2 linked regions of the Lonchura striata genome follow. The protein of the gene in region 1 binds, or shares a complex with, the protein of each later gene. Links are inferred from orthologs where the notes say so. Each region holds a gene or a part of one and is shown in the gene's direction. Other genes may lie near its edges. The genes, in order: S1PR1 and C-type lectin domain family 2 member B-like.

Evidence for each region.
Region 2: the proteins of S1PR1 (region 1) and C-type lectin domain family 2 member B-like are in contact, whole or in part, in a cryo-EM structure (PDB 8G94), measured with the Homo sapiens proteins. The link is inferred for Lonchura striata from reciprocal best matches to the Homo sapiens genes S1PR1 and CD69. Residues at the interface, in NP_001307659.1 of Homo sapiens: Asn157, Leu160, Phe161, Ile164, Ser165, Trp168, Val169, Leu172, Ile173, Gly176, Ile179, Met180, Gly181; in NP_001772.1 of Homo sapiens: Val41, Ala44, Val45, Val48, Val49, Thr52, Ile53, Ile56, Ile59, Ala60, Val63.

What each region holds. Positions count from the first base shown.
Region 1 is NC_134611.1:23,117,165-23,124,858, forward strand, and holds the start of S1PR1 (sphingosine 1-phosphate receptor 1), read left to right. Parts: upstream 1-4,438; 5' UTR 4,439-4,568; intron 4,569-5,812; 5' UTR 5,813-5,932; coding exon 5,933-7,072; 3' UTR 7,073-7,694.
Region 2 is NC_134609.1:37,192,169-37,199,912, forward strand, and holds C-type lectin domain family 2 member B-like, read left to right. Parts: upstream 1-4,860; 5' UTR 4,861-4,960; coding exon 4,961-5,003; intron 5,004-5,698; coding exon 5,699-5,797; intron 5,798-5,899; coding exon 5,900-6,078; intron 6,079-6,278; coding exon 6,279-6,379; intron 6,380-6,469; coding exon 6,470-6,584; 3' UTR 6,585-7,194; downstream 7,195-7,744. Other genes in the region: C-type lectin domain family 2 member B-like, read left to right, coding at 193-291, 394-572, 773-873, 964-1,078. UniProt on the Homo sapiens protein: Transmembrane protein expressed mainly on T-cells resident in mucosa that plays an essential role in immune cell homeostasis.

The sequences.
Region 1 (7,694 bases):
ACCAGGTTTTTGATTCTAATCTGAAGAAAGAAGATAGGGAATTTTTTAATACTGTGAATATCAACAGAAAATTAATTCATCTAACATACTCCCTGTGGAAAGAATAATTTAAAACCAGATTGTTCTAAACTGGAAAAGTGATGTAACCTGAACATTAATTAATTTTAAACTGAACAATAAATCTGAATTGTTCTCTTGGGCAGGCAGTATACTCAAGAATCAGTATAAATGGTTTGTAGTTACTCTTATGTTAACAAATTAATAAAATAATTTAATTTACTGTGTGTAGCTTTCTTACAGATGCAGAAATACCTTCAGTGTCTTTTTTGCTTTCTTAGAACTTTCCCGTATAGTCTCCCAGTATGGGTTAGTTATCTCACAATATTATAATTTTCTTCTGCCTGCATGTATTTCATTTAAGGTGTCACTGGAACCCATCTGAACACATTAATTAGGTGTATTTTTTTACTTCCAGATTTTGAAAAGTATTAATTACTTGAAGGTATGTAAGAGCATGGTACAATGTATGTAAATCTTGACAAATGATTCAAAATATGGAATATTTGTTCAGGGATTGCAGCAGAACAATGAATCCAACTTTTTTATTTCTTCCAGTCAAGAGAATTTTGGGGGATTCTGCAGGCCATTCTTGATATTTTCTTGGTGACCAAACCTGCAATTTGGTACTGTTTCACAGATCTCCTGTCATGCCCCAGCACTTCAGAGAGGATTGTCTCCCTTTGTGACCTAAGCTACATCGGGATGAATAAAAGTAGTTTTTGCTTATATGGACAAAGACTTTTGAAAAGTGCAGAAGAATGACGTGTTGGAGAAAAATCCTTTGCTAATCTCCCTTGCAGGGATTGTCACTATCTTTTCAAGATGGATAGTGTTCAGACACTCCTCTGATGCAATTGTGAGCTGTCCAGCTGCACTGGGAGAATTGGGTCTGGTGGTGTCAGAGGCCACCAGTCTTTTGATATGCAGGCATTGGGTGGACCCCAGCTTACAGCTTCTTTTCTGACAAGATCAAAGCATTTTCCTGCAAGGAAATAGCTCTGTGACTAGCCATGTTTCTGCAATCCTGACCAAGCTAAGCTCTCACTGGAAGTTCCACAAGAACTTGGGTTGTCACACACAGTCAGTGTTATTTTGTTGTTGTTCATGCCATTCCCTATAATGTGAGTTTCTGCTCATCCTGGAAACTATCTAAGAGCATATACATACTCAGGATCCCTGTGAAGAATGTGTCTTTCTCTTTGTGCTAGTAGACATGTCACAGAACATTTTTTTAACCAGTTTAGCCAGGTGAGGCGTCTGTTCTGTGTCAGGTTGGTGTCCTGATGTGCACAGCCTTTCTGCTGGCATTTGACAGAGACCTGCATTCTGGTTATTTCTGAAATGCATTAATAACATTGTGTTGTTCTTTCTCCTTATTCTGACCATGGGCAATTCCAGAATCGAGTTCTCAGAGGAGCCGTGTATACACTGGATTTCTGTAGTAGAAGTGCAAGCTTCCTTATCAGTGGACACGGCACTGAGAAAGAGTTCTCATTCTGTTGGTGGCTTGTTTTCCTGGTGAGACTGGAGTTTAACCCTGGTTTAAACCCCCTTGCTAAACACTTACCAGCAACTACAGTTTTGGTAGAGTTGGCTGGACCAACCTGAGTAGTCCCATGTTTGTGTTTCAGTCCTTGTAAGCAGGTTAGAACCTGTGCAGTTGAGCTATGTTAACCTATCTTCTCTGAGGGTTTAGAAAGCCTTCAGTGCAAATCCAGCTGATCTGCCTCCATTTACCTGTGAAGAGTGAAGCTATGTTTCAGTTTCCTCAGTGCCAAGGTGTCAAGAAGGCTGTAAATGTATGTGGTCATCTAAGTTTAACGATGCCTTTTGTGATACAAGTACCCACTTTTTGGAATGGAACTGAAATTGCCTGCATATTTTGCCCAGTGCTGCACCTGTGTTGGACAACTCCCTGTATCACTATCGGGTAAGAGAGGCAGATGTGAAGGACTTGGGGGTGCTGGTGGATAAGAGTCTGGACATGAGCCTGAAGTGTGAGTTTGCAGCCCAGAAAGCCAGTGGTATCCTAGGCTGCACCATAAGGACTGTGGGCAGCAGGTCAAGGCAAGAGGGGATTTTTCCCCTCTGCTCCGCTCTGGTCAGGCCCCACCTGCAGTGCTGTGTCCAGCTCTGGGGCTCTCAGCACAGGAAAGACATGGACCAGACATGGTCAGAGCAGGTCCGGAGGAAAGATGCAAATAATGACCACAGGGCTGGAGCACCTCTTCTAAGGAATGGCTGAGAGAGTTGGGTTTTTTTAGTCTGGAGAAGAGAAGGCTCTGCAGTTACTTTCTTGTGGTGCTTAAGAATATAAAGGGGCCCTACAGGAAAGCTGGAAAGGGACTTTTTACAAGAACATGTAGTGTCAGGACAAGAGAATGGCTTCAAACTGAAAGACAGTGGGCTTAGTTTCAATATTGATAAGAATTTCTTTGCTGGAACAGGTTGCCCAAAGAAAGGGTGGATGTCCCCATCCCTGGAAATGTTCAAGGCTAGGTTGGATGGGGCTTTGAGCATCCTAACCTAGTGGAAGATGCCCCCACCCATGGCAACGGAGTAGGAACTGGGTGATCTTTAAGGTCTTCCATTCCAACCCAAACCATTCTGTGGTTCTGTAATTTTACACAGGCTCTGACAATTAATTTGCTGAATGTCACATCTCTGAGATGGTATCCTCTCAGCTGGTAGCCAATAGCCTGGACATGAAAGCCTGCACATCTGACTAATGAAACCCTGAATCATTCTATCCTTTAATTAAAGCATGTTCCTTTAATATGTTCCTCTTACTTAAAATTATGTAATAATTATTTCCTAGAAGAAAATGCCTAATTAATGCACTTTTATTTAGTATTTTCTATGTATTAGATAAATAAGGGGGAAAGCTTGAAATATCTGGGGTATGTCAGGCAGTTGCAGGGGATACATATGTCAGCCTCAAGCATGATTTATCTCGTGCATTTTCTGACAGTTGTGACTTAACGGCTGCATTTTCCTCCAGGCTCTCAGGAGGCTAAATATCTTTTCAAGTTTCTAGCTTTGTGGTAGAAGAGTAAATGTCTGTTTGCCAGTGTAATTTATCTGAGTCATTCTGGGACGGGTGTGGAGCAGTTGAAGCATGACTATTAGCATAAATAAGAGAGGGACCCTCTTCCTGAGGGTAGAATACTTGTACTGTCTTTCAGAGGAAAGCTGCTTCCCCATAACAACTGCTACAGCTAATTGATGGGCACAATACTTTAAACTGAAAGACCCAATTTATTGCACTTTGGCCTATTGTGATATTCTTTTACATTTCAATTTGGAGTTAACAAGAGCAGAGCAAGGAAGGAAGAGGAAATTTCTGCAGTAAGTGCAACGACTAGAATATACCAGAGCTGGCATTTCACATATGCCAAAGGTGCTTTTTCTTTTAAAAAGAATATACAATATGATACAGTGGTAACAGTGTTAAGTAGTTGCCATTGCCAGTTTTGTTTCTGAAAAAAATGCATTAAAAACTTTTCTTCGTACTTTCAAACATAGTTGTTTTACAGCATCCTCTGAACATGCAGAGGTTAGTTTTGGGGATTTTTAGTTTTTTGGGGGGGTTATCGGTTGGGGGTTTTTTGTTTGGGTTTGTTTGGGGTTTGTTTTGTTTTGGGGTGTTTTGTGTATTTTGGTTTTTGTTGTTTTTTCGGTTTGGTTTTCTTTTTTCATGTGGAAACACCAACACCTGGTGCTGTTTGACAGTGGCAGGAACTGAGTTTATCCCCCATGAGCCAGTTCTGGCTTCTTCCCCGCAGAGTGCAGCCTGGCACCATCCTCGCCCCATGGGGCTGCTGCCTCCCCGGGGAGCCGCTGGTGAGTCACTGCGGGCCACGAGTGCGGGTGGCAGCCACCGGGCCTGCCACGGCAAAAACACCTTGGTTGTAGTGAGAAAATGGAAGAGCTTCTTTCGGGTGTTTCCTTAAACAGGACTTACACTGTCCTCTAAGAGGGGGAACGGAGGTAGCATACGGGACGCTGCCTTTGGCCATAACCTTTCGGGGGGCAGGAAAGCCGGGCGGGCGGGAAGCTGCCCCCGGCACCCCGCAGGAGCCGCGCTGGGAGCCGCCGGGCCGCGCCAGCACCTCCTTCCCCGGAATGCCGGGTGCGCCCGGCGGCGGCTCTCAGGTCAGGGACGGCTGCAGCCCGGCCGCGGCGCCCCCCGGCCCGGCGGGGCGAGCGGGTCCCCCGGGGCAGCTCCTCGCCTCACGCCTTCCGGAGCCGGCCGCTGCTGCCCGCGGGCTCCGCACCAGCCGGGCACGGCAGCGCCGCGGCTCGCGGGGTGGGGCGGTGGGCGGGCTGTCCCGCCGGCTGGGCTGGGCTGGGCACGCAGGGAAGACACGGGAATCGGAAATGAGGGTGGAGAGCAGCAGCTACAAAACATTAAAACCACCGAGCCCCCTAGCCCGCCCACCGGAGTTGCTCCGCGGGCACGCAAGATGTGCGGGGCCGGTCTGGGCTCCGCGCCGCGCTTGAGCCAGGTAAGGCTCGGGGAGCCGCGGCCGCGCAGTCCCCGCAACGCGGGGACGCCTCAAGTCCCAGCGCTGCGGTCCCCGCTCGGCGCGACCCCCGGGGCCGCGACACAAACCAGACGGGGTGGGGAGGAGGCTACCTGGGCGCCGGCGTGCCCGGCTGCTGCCGCGTCCGGCAGAGGCGGTGCGGGACGGGAGCCACGCGCGCGGAGACCGAAGCGGAGCCGGAGCGCTGCGAGTAGGAGCCCCGGAGCCGTGCGGGACAGGAGCGGTGCGGGACAGGAGCCATGGCACTTTTATGCCCGGGAGCGATGCAGACCGGAGCCCGGGAATAGTGTAGGGAGCCGAACCCACTGCCTTGCCCCGCTTAGGCTGTAATTTAGCAAATCTGCCTGTTCTTCTTTCCTTGCCTGATATTATGGGTTTAATTATTTTTAAATGTACTTCTACAAAACCTTTATATGTAAAGGGGGTTTCCTCTATATGTGTATTACTTAATTATGCCCACTTCAAAAGCTTGCAATACTAGTTATTTAAATGCAAGGGGGTTTTTTGACATTCTTACTTTTAGATCCATGGAATGGGCTTGCTCTTCAGCTTAATTCCATATTTTTCTTGTTTTTCTTAACTTTTTACTGCTGTGGGCTTTGTAAAGCATATTCTTACTTGTATTTAGCAAGGGCACCCCTTAAGCTGTTTACAGCTTTGAGATGATTTCTTGTGTATATTTACATCAGTGAATTTACCACTGTTTGAGATGGCATCAGTAAATTGCATAACTATCCCCTTCCAAAGTGTATTCAGACTTTATTAATGGAGGAGAATACAGGTCTGTATCAAGTAATTTCTGTGCAAACTTTTGTACATTTAGAGTTAAATCTCATCAAGCAAGCCCTTTCCCATTTTTAATCTCTGATGTTGTATTTCTCACTGAAGAAAAAAAGACTAGAACTTACTGCTGGAGAGCTTTGAGATCTTTTGTGCTGGAAGAAGTCCAGTAATACAGTCCTTGCTGACTCCAACTTGTTCAGTTCTGCATGACCGAACTTTTTTTGTCTTATTAGCTTTACCTATTCAATATAGCTAACCACCTTTTAAATGTATTTTACCAGCTGAATGAAACTGATTCATGTATGAATACATTTTTTTACTCTGATGTACAGTTAAAACAGCAGATTATTGAACCCTTTAGCATTTGCTACATTTTTAGTCTTCCTTCTTTTAAGTCTGGTTTTCATGCCTCTTGTTCTCAGGGCTGCAGTTTGTGAGGCTGTGCAGCAGTGTCGGGCCAAGGATTTTCGGGGCAGCCACCGGGTTTGCGGTTGGCGTCACCATCCGGCGGCTGCTGGGGGAGCAGTCCCCAGCCAGGCACCATGAACTCTGGCACCACTGCCCCGCAGAAGGTCACCAGCAACCCTACCAACACTGATGTCAACTATGTCATCAAAGAGCATTATAATTACACGGGAAAGCTAAATGAGAGTGTGGACACTGGAATTAAAGTGACGTCGGTGGTTTTTATTATCATTTGCTGCTTTATAATCTTAGAGAACATTTTTGTCTTGCTTACCATCTGGAAAACCAAGAAGTTTCACAGACCCATGTACTATTTCATTGGGAACTTGGCTCTTTCAGACTTACTGGCTGGTGTGGCTTACACTGCCAACATCCTGCTATCTGGACACAAAACCTACAGCCTGACCCCCAACCAGTGGTTTGTAAGAGAAGGCACCATGTTTGTTGCCTTGTCAGCTTCTGTGTTCAGCTTGTTGGCCATTGCCATCGAGAGATACATCACCATGCTGAAGATGAAACTCCACAATGGCAGCAACAGCTTCCGCTCCTTCTTGCTGATCAGTGCGTGCTGGGTCATCTCCGCAATCCTTGGGGGGCTCCCGATCATGGGCTGGAACTGCAAGAACCTCTTGTCCAACTGCTCCACCGTGCTGCCTCTCTACCACAAGCACTATATTCTCTTTTGCACAACCGTTTTCACTGGCCTTTTGTTATCTATTGTGGTCCTCTACTGCAGGATCTACTCCATGGTGAGGACTAGGAGCCGCAGGCTGACATTTCGGAAAAACATTACCAAAGCTACCAGGAGCTCAGAAAAGTCACTAGCCTTGCTCAAGACAGTGATCATAGTCCTGAGTGTCTTCATTGCCTGCTGGGCTCCTCTGTTCATCCTCCTTTTACTGGATGTGGGGTGCAAAGTGAAGACCTGCCCAATCCTCTACAAAGCAGAGTATTTCTTAGTACTGGCCGTGCTCAATTCAGCCACAAACCCTATCATCTACACCTTGACAAACAAAGAGATGCGGAGGGCATTCATCAAGATTTTGTGCTGCTGCACATGTCCCCCTGCAGATTCTGGGACCAAATTCAAACGGCCAATCATTGGGGGGATGGAGTTCAGCCGGAGTAAGTCTGACAACTCCTCACACCCACAGAAGGAGGACGGTGACCATCCTGAAACCATCATGTCTTCGGGCAATGTTACCTCATCTTCTTAGGAGTAACCATGGGGGTGTATTTCAGAGTCTTCCTCTGAAATGAGGGAGCTGGGACGCCTCCTGCTCACAGCAGCAGCGTTGGGCTGAGTGAGCAAGTAGCATTAGTTCTAATGAGGCAAACAGTGCACTTGCGAGGCTGGAGTTCAAGAAATGGGACACACTGTTCTGGCTTGAAAATCTTTTTCCCTGGAGCATGTTTTGTCTTTGCGCTGAGGCAGCTCAGGATTGTCAGGCGCATTCATATCCTGAAATCTCCTTAGTAACTCTGAAAGACTGATGCCTTGGTGAAATGATGCCTGGTGTGTGTGAGAGAAAGAGAGAGGGGGAGGAGGGAAAGGGAGAATGAATATTTTTTTTTTTTCCTGTGAGAAGAATGTGAAGTTTTTTCTCTTCACAGCAAACCACTGACACAAAGATCTTTCTGTACTGAATTTAATGGTGGCTCTGGTATTGTTGGTAAGAAGTGTGTTTGTTTAGTACATAACATGGAAAGAGATCACACAAATATAACTTAGACCACATACAACCATAATTGGCATAATTTTGCAGAGCTTTTAGTTAAGTCCTAAGGTTTTATTTGCAGAGTCCAAAGTCTTGGGGTTTTACTTAGCAAGATCATAGC
Region 2 (7,744 bases), on another chromosome or scaffold:
TGTGCAGTTCTCCTGCTGCAGCCTGTCCCCACAGCTGTGTCCCTGCCTGTGCCCAGGCTCTTGGCTCTCTGGCTGCCAGCTGAGTGAGGGGCACAGTGGCTGAGGGGTCCCTGCTGTGCTCCCTGGGCACGGGGTGAGCAGATTGCAGGGCCGGGTCTGGTTCTGGCAGCCAGCAGCTCTTTCCTGCTCCAGGTGAATGGTTCAGCTCCCGTCCCGTGCTCACGGCGGTGCTGATTCTGCTGCTCCTGGTGCTGGTGCTGGCTTTGGGGGTGGCCTTGGCTGTGCAGTCAGGTAAGGGAGGGGCAGCAGGCTGGGCCCAGCCCCTCGGGGCAGAGCAGGGTCCCTGCTCCCTGCAGAGGGGAATCCTCAGACCTTCTCCTCTTCCCCCTCCAGCACCACAGGTTCCAGTCACACCTGCGACTCCGCAGTTGGTTCTGGGCTGTCCCCGTGGCTGGGTTGGGTACAATGGGGTCTGCTACTACTTGTCAAGGGATTACAGGAGCTGGGATCAGGCTCAGGAACGGTGCTCGGAGCTCGGGGCCTCCCTGGCCATTCTCCAGGATGAGGCCATGGTGAGTGAGGGGCTGCGGGTGGTGTGGGGTGGCTGAGGGGAGCCTGGGGGTGCTCCTGGGCCGGGCTGGGTGCTCGTAGGGCTGGGGGTGCAGCCCTGTGCCGGGGCCTTGCAGGGAAGGAGCCCCGGCGTGCGGGGGCAGCCCCGGGCACGGGTCCCCCCGAGGGGCCGGGGCAGCTCCCACTCCTCTCTCCTGGGCAGGATTTGCTCTTCCGCCTCCGCGGGAACGTCGATTACTGGATCGGGCTGCGCAGACGGGGCGAGCGCCTGCACTGGGGGGACGGCAGCAGCTACAGCTCCAGGTGAGTGCCGGGGAGCCGGGCAGGGCCTGGGGGCACAGGGGCACAAGGTGTTCCCCTGGGAACCAGCGCTGTCTCTGCTCCTCCCTGCAGGGTTCCTGTCCTTGGCAATTCCCCGTGTGTGTACCTGGCTGACAATAAATTCAGGACCAGGGATTGCTCAAATGAGCGGCCGTATGTCTGCAGCAAGGCCCAAGCTGCCCTGTGACAGGGCTGCAGAAAGGACCTTGTCCACACTGGGCAGTGCCAGCTTCGGCTCTGAGCCCAGCCCAGGGCTGTCCTTCCTCAGCTGCACCCTGTGCCTTGCACGGACTCTCAGGGTCACCTCAGTGCCTGTCCATCCCCAGTGCCAACACAGGGGTGGGTGTTCAGGGGAAAAGTCTCTGCAATGCATCCTGCCCCCGAGGTTGCCTGCAGTGAGTGGATTGTCCTCATTACACAACAAGATCCAGTGAGCAATCTAATCTCTCTGAGGTCTTGGAAATCATCACAAAGTGGCCTGAAGCTGGCACTTCTGGACTGTCTTTGGAGAGGAAGAAGAACAGCTGACACCTGCTGAGGAATCCCAATTTGCATCAGGTATCTTACTGCAAGTAGTGGTTTGTCTGTATATCTGTCTTTCTGTTGGAAAGGATCTGACTGTCCTCCTGTGGAAAAATGACAACCAGGAGCAGGTCAAGGATTTGTCTCCCTGAGGGACAAGCATTGACATGACATGATTGTAACTGCCATCCCTCTGTGCCACTGTCTGAGGAGGAGGGAGGGAGGGAGGGAACTGAGAATAAAATGGAGCCCAGGAAGGAGAGGATAGCGTGGGGAAGGTGCATTTTTAGGATTTGGCACACTTCTCATTCCCATGCTCTGATCTGTTTGATAATAAATTCAACTAAAATCAATGACCCCAGTGGGAGCCTGTTACACCCATGACAGTGACAGATCTCTCGCTGCCTTTCCTGAGCCCCTCGAGCCTTCCCTGCTGTGTCCTGTGCCTGCCCAGGGGCAGGAGGAGAGGCACAGAGTGGCTTTGCTGGCCCCGGGTCCTGGCCCGGCCCAGCCCAGCCCCAGAATCCCTGCCAGAATTCCCTGCACCATTTCCCGGCCCCACGGCGGCTCCGGCTCCGCGGGCAGGCGGCTCCAGGAGTTCAGAGGGGTAAAACGGGACCGAGGGAGAGGAGGCAGCTGGAGCCAGCGGGGGAAATGTCTTTGCTGCGAGCTGGCAGGGAGAGGAGGAGGCATAAAGTGATGCAAAGTAAAGGGGAGAGAAAGAGGGACAAGGCTGGAGCGGTGGAAGGCGGCGGGGATGCCATGGGGCAGGCGGGCATTTTGCTTTCCAGCTGTGTGGGAGGAAACCGAGAGCTCTCAAATCCATGTAGGAAAAGAGGGGATCTCGGGGTTCTGTGGTCAAGATGAGCCAAGATCCTAAAAAGTTTTTTCCTCCCAGCCCCGCAGCCAGAGTCGCTTTTGCTTCTCAAGGTTGTTTATTTTCTCCTATCTATAACATTCAATTTCTGACCTGCTGACCTCTGCCTGGCAAGTCAGATCATGGCATTCTGTCTGCCCTCTAGGCTGGTGTTAACATTTTATATTATGAACTTCGTATACTTTATTTACCATTAATTTCCTACCCATCACCTATGTTAGACAGTGTGTCTCTACTCCAAACCAATAAAAGTGTCACCATCATAGTGAAAGATGGAGGACAAGAAGGAGAAGATACATCGAAATTCCTCCCTCTTGCCTCCTCAACCCCATTCTAAAAAAACCCCAAATTTCTGCTTTTTACCCCGTGTTACATTAACTCAACTCTTGTGACCTGTAAATCTTCACACAAAGTTGGCAGTTTTTTCCACGGACTAAAATCAAAGCCACGGGTGTTTTTGACTTCGTGCCAAGGTCTCCGAGCCCCCTGCCAGGGTCTGGAGACAGCCAGGGCAGCCAGAGGGATGTGCTGGGCTCCCACCAGGGGAGAAGTAGCAGGTGGTGGTGTATTGGCTTTGGTTCGCTGATTTTGAGATTTTTTGCTTATTGTACTAAATTAGCATGGTGGGTTTAGTGTTGGCTAATTACTAATGTGTTTACTTTTTGTTGTGGGGTAGGATTAGGAGAAAGGTAAAGTAAGTTTAAAACTTTAAAAGGCTATGAAGAGAAATTTATTTACAGTAATTAAGAGTAATAAGAATTAGAAGAAAACATTTAGGGCACTTTTTTTTTTTTACTGGTAATGTAAAGGAAGAAATCTTAAAATATTAGTTAGCTTACTACTTTTCAAATAGTTTCTTTCAGATTACGGAGGGAGAGAAGTCTCTCTCCTTAATGTTATGGAGACTTCTCCACAAGGAAAAAAACCCACGTTTTTTATGGTTCTTAATTTTTTTACCACAAGTTGCTGCTTGGGGAAACTTGTAATTGTGATGTCTCTCTTGTGTTTTACAAGCTTTTTTTACAGCTTGTTTATGGGCTATGTTAACTTATGGGGTATTGTTTTAAAGATGAGTTGTTTAAAGGTAAAGGTTTTTATTATCTGTTTTTGAAATTATTTTCATCTCTGGGAACAGATATTTTTGTTTTCTTGGGGGCACAGTATTTTATTAGTCTTCTCTCTTTTTTTGTTTAAACTTTTTGTAGTTACTTTAATATTTCTTTACTTTGGTTTGGAGGCATTTGTTTGATATTAATTTGAACTCTTTAGCCATCTATACTTTTAAGAGTTATTGGGACAAAAGTCTTTGTTCCATAGTTTTCTAAGAGGATTTTAGCTTTAAGATTTAGGCATTTCTTTATTGCTGTTGTTTGGGACTTTATTTCTTCTTTAGTGACTGTGAGAACCCCGGCCTTGCTCTGGGGTCTCATATGGTGGTGAAATTCTTCCTCCAACCTGTGCTTCCAAAGAAAAGCTCCGCAGGCTTTAGCTGTTCGATCTCAAGGCAGTTTATTTTTAGTTATCTAACAGATTATGTTCTTGGACTGCGGCTATTTGATCAGCGGCCTGGGTAGAGGCACACACACACACTGACATCCTCTCTATCTGCTGTCTTCTTTGTCTCTCCCATCTGCCCAGGGCTGCTGCTGTCTTTTATAAGATATATTATGTATAACATGTTTACAATTATTCCCCAATACCTACTACCTACGCTGCCAAGTGTTTTTCTACTCTAAACCAATCTGTGAGTGCCAACATCACCAAGAACATGAAGGTAAGGAAAAAGAAGGAGGAAGAATAGGATCAGCCCACTTTCCTCCATCTTAGAACTTCTGACCCCCATGTACAAAGTGAAAACCCCCTGTACATGTGTTAAAACCCCCCTGTACAATACTAAAAAAATTTCCCCTCTACTTTGTAATTACTTATACTATACTATCTAACCTTTTGTGACTGCTTGTTCCACCTCCAAAGTTGGTAACTCATTCCATGGCTCAAACTCAAAATCACAGCTGTTTCCAGCTGCCTGCCAGGGTCTAGAATGCTTCTGACCAAGGCCTGGAACCTCTAAAAATGTCTGAGAGACATTTTGAGTTCCCACAAGTGACTTTGATGATTTCACGTTGTTCTTTTACATGTTGGGGTGTTTTGTTTGGTTGGTTTGTGCCAGCAGCGGCTGCAGGGCTGGATTTTGGGTTCTGCCGGTTCAGTTCGAGCTGCAGGGTCACGGTGCACGGGCCGTGGGGCCGCCTCTGCTCTGAGCTGTCCGCGCTCCGTGCTTGTTAACCGCAAGATAAAAAACACGAGTTCCCGAGTTTTGTTCGTCTGAAACATGCGTGTTTCATAGAAGGGCGTACAAGTGTGAACCGCCAATAGTTAACCCTTCGCGGTACGCGGCCCGCCCATCTCCAGCAGCCGGGGCTGGGCTCGGCTCCCCCCGGCTCCTCCCTCCGCGGGCCAAGGGCCGCCCCTCGCTGCTTTCCCACTTTTGACTGGTGAGAACGGCCAAAACCCTCCCACACCGACACCGGCTCCACCCTACATGGGAATTCCACTGTCCGTGGGGTTAGTCAACACATGTGTCGGTCCTTTCGGCCGGGAGCGGAGCGGCGGCGGGGGGCGAGGTCGTGAGGGACCGGAGCGGCGGCGGCCCCGGAGCCCGGCGAGGCGATGGCGAAGCTCGGAGGCGGCTCCAGCCCCGGCGGGACCCGCGGTCGGTTCTGCCCCAGCTCGGGGCTCGCTGCGGGCGGAGGGGCCGTGCTGAGGGCCAGGGGGGTTCTGGCGAGTTCCTTGTGCCGGGTTCCGCCGGGTCCCCCTGCGCTGGGATCGCGGAGGGAGCGGCTGCCCGCGCTCTCCTCCTTGCCCGGATCGCTGGGGACGAGCCGGGGCCGCAGCAGCGATGGCTCGTCCCGGTTGCTCTCGCTCGGGCGGAGGCGGCTGCTCCGTGCCCGGGACAGTTCCCGGCCGTGCGGCTCCGGGCTGGGGCCGCTGCTCGGGCGGGAGGTGTCCGTGCCCGGCTCGGGCGGGCAGTGTGTGGATCTGGGCTCTTATGGATGGATTGCAAAGAGCAGCAGGCACGGAGTGGGCGGAAAAGCGCCGTATCCGCGTCCTCCGGGGCGGAGCCGCCTTGGGTTCTTGATATGCTGGGCCTCGTCAGTGGCTGGAACCAAGAGCCCCAGCTGCCCCCAAGGCTGTGCAGTTCTCCTGCTGCAGCCTGTCCCCACAGCTGTGTCCCTGCCTGTCCCCACAGCTGTGTCCCTGGCTGTGCCCAGGCTCTTGGCTCTCTGGCTGCCAGCTGAGTGAGGGGCACAGTGGCTGAGGGGTCCCTGCTGTGCTCCCTGGGCACGGGGTGAGCAGATTGCAGGGCCGGGTCTGGTTCTGGCAGCCAGCAGCTCTTTCCTGCTCCAGGTGAATGGTTCAGCTCCCGTCCCGTGCTCACGGCGGTGCTGATTCTGCTGCTCCTGGTGCTGGTGCTGGCTTTGGGGGTGGCCTTGGCTGTGCAGTCAGGTAAGGGAGGGGCAGCAGGCTGGGCCCAGCCCCTCGGGGCAGAGCGGGGTCCCTGCTCCCTGCAGAGGGGAATCCTCAGACCTTCTCCTCTTCCCCCTCCAGCACCACAGGTTCCAGTCACACCTGCGACTCCGCAGATGGTTCTGAGCTGTCCCCATGGCTGGGTTGGATACAATGGGGTCTGCTACTACTTGTCAAGGGATTACAGGAGCTGGGATCAGGCTCAGGAACGGTGCTCGGAGCTCGGGGCCTCCCTGGCCATTCTCCAGGATGAGGCCATGGTGAGTGAGGGGCTGCAGGCGGTGTGGGGTGGCTGAGGGGAGCCTGGGGGTGCTCCTGGGCCGGGCTGGGTGCTCGTAGGGCTGGGGGTGCAGCCCTGTGCCGGGGCCTTGCAGGGAAGGAGCCCCGGCGTGCGGGGGCAGCCCCGGGCACGGGTCCCCCCGAGGGGCCAGGGCAGCTCCCACTCCTCTCTCCTGGGCAGGATTTGCTCTTCCGCCTCCGCGGGAACGTCGATTACTGGATCGGGCTGCGCAGACGGGGCGAGCGCCTGCACTGGGGGGACGGCAGCAGCTACAGCTCCAGGTGAGTGCCGGGGAGCCGGGCAGGGCCTGGGGGCACAGGGGCACAAGGTGTTCCCCTGGGAACCAGCGCTGTCTCTGCTCCTCCCTGCAGGGTTCCTGTCCTTGGCAATTCCCCGTGTGTGTACCTGGCTGACGATAAATTCCGCAGTGAGATGTGCTCAAATGAGCGGCCGTATGTCTGCAGCAAGGCCCAAGCTGCCCTGTGACAGGGCTGCAGAAAGGACCTTATCCACGCTGGGCAGTGCCAGCTTCAGCTCTGAGCCCAGCACAGGGCTGTCCTTCCTCAGCTGCACCCTGTGCCTTGCACTGACTCTCAGGGTCACCTCAGTGCCTGTCCATCCCCAGTGCAAACACAGGGGTGGGTGTTCAGGGGAAAAGTCTCTGCAGTGCATCCTGCCAGTGGTGCTGCCTGGAGTGACTGGATTGCCCTCATTATATGTTAGGAACACAGCTCTCTATTCACCCTTTTGATAAAAGTTTTTATACATACCTTTAATACAGACATAGAAATTATTTTATAAATATTTTAAATGTTTATATATTATGACTTTACATTAACATGTTCTTTCGTTTGGTTTTAACTTTTGACTTGTCTTCATGCTATCTTGTCTAATTAAACCAATATAATTTATGTTTTCTTGTGGTTCTATCTTGTATTTTCACTCCCTGATGAGGGTCAATAATTCTTCTTTTTGTTCACCACTCTTGTTTCTGATTCCATTATCGTGTCTTTCAGATAAGAAAGTCCCCAAATATGGGAAATCAATTATTTTACATCATTTTCTGAGTTAGTTACATTAAACAATCATTTCAGCATTTCACAGTCTCTATTATTTCACGCTCTAAGACAGTATCTATTACATCTCTAGTTATAGAAGCTATATGGTGCATACATACAGTGACAGGTTATACTATATCAAAAGCAGTAATTACAATGTGTAGTATATCGGAATTCTTGTGGTCAATAATAACTTGAAAAACCAAAGTTAGTACATAAATGTGAAAGCCATAATTATAACATAATAGAACAAACTCGACTGGGGAATGCAAATTTCCCTGGATTCCTGGAAATCATCACTGGCCTGAAGTTGAGACTTTAGGATGGTCCTTGGAAGATGTGAGAAAGGACCCTCACTTTAAAAATTTCAAATGCTCATGAAATCATAACAAAAAAATACGATACTAAGGAATAATTACAACACTGGGCTCTCTGGGGCTATCAGCCACGTGCACATTTACAAAATGGGTGCTCTGCCTTTTATACCCTCAGCCCCTCCCAGAGTTGTGTCAGTGAACCCCTTCTCTGCCGTGCACTGGTGCAGATCACTTCCTTACATCTCGACTGCAGCTCAGGTGCTGTCCTGTC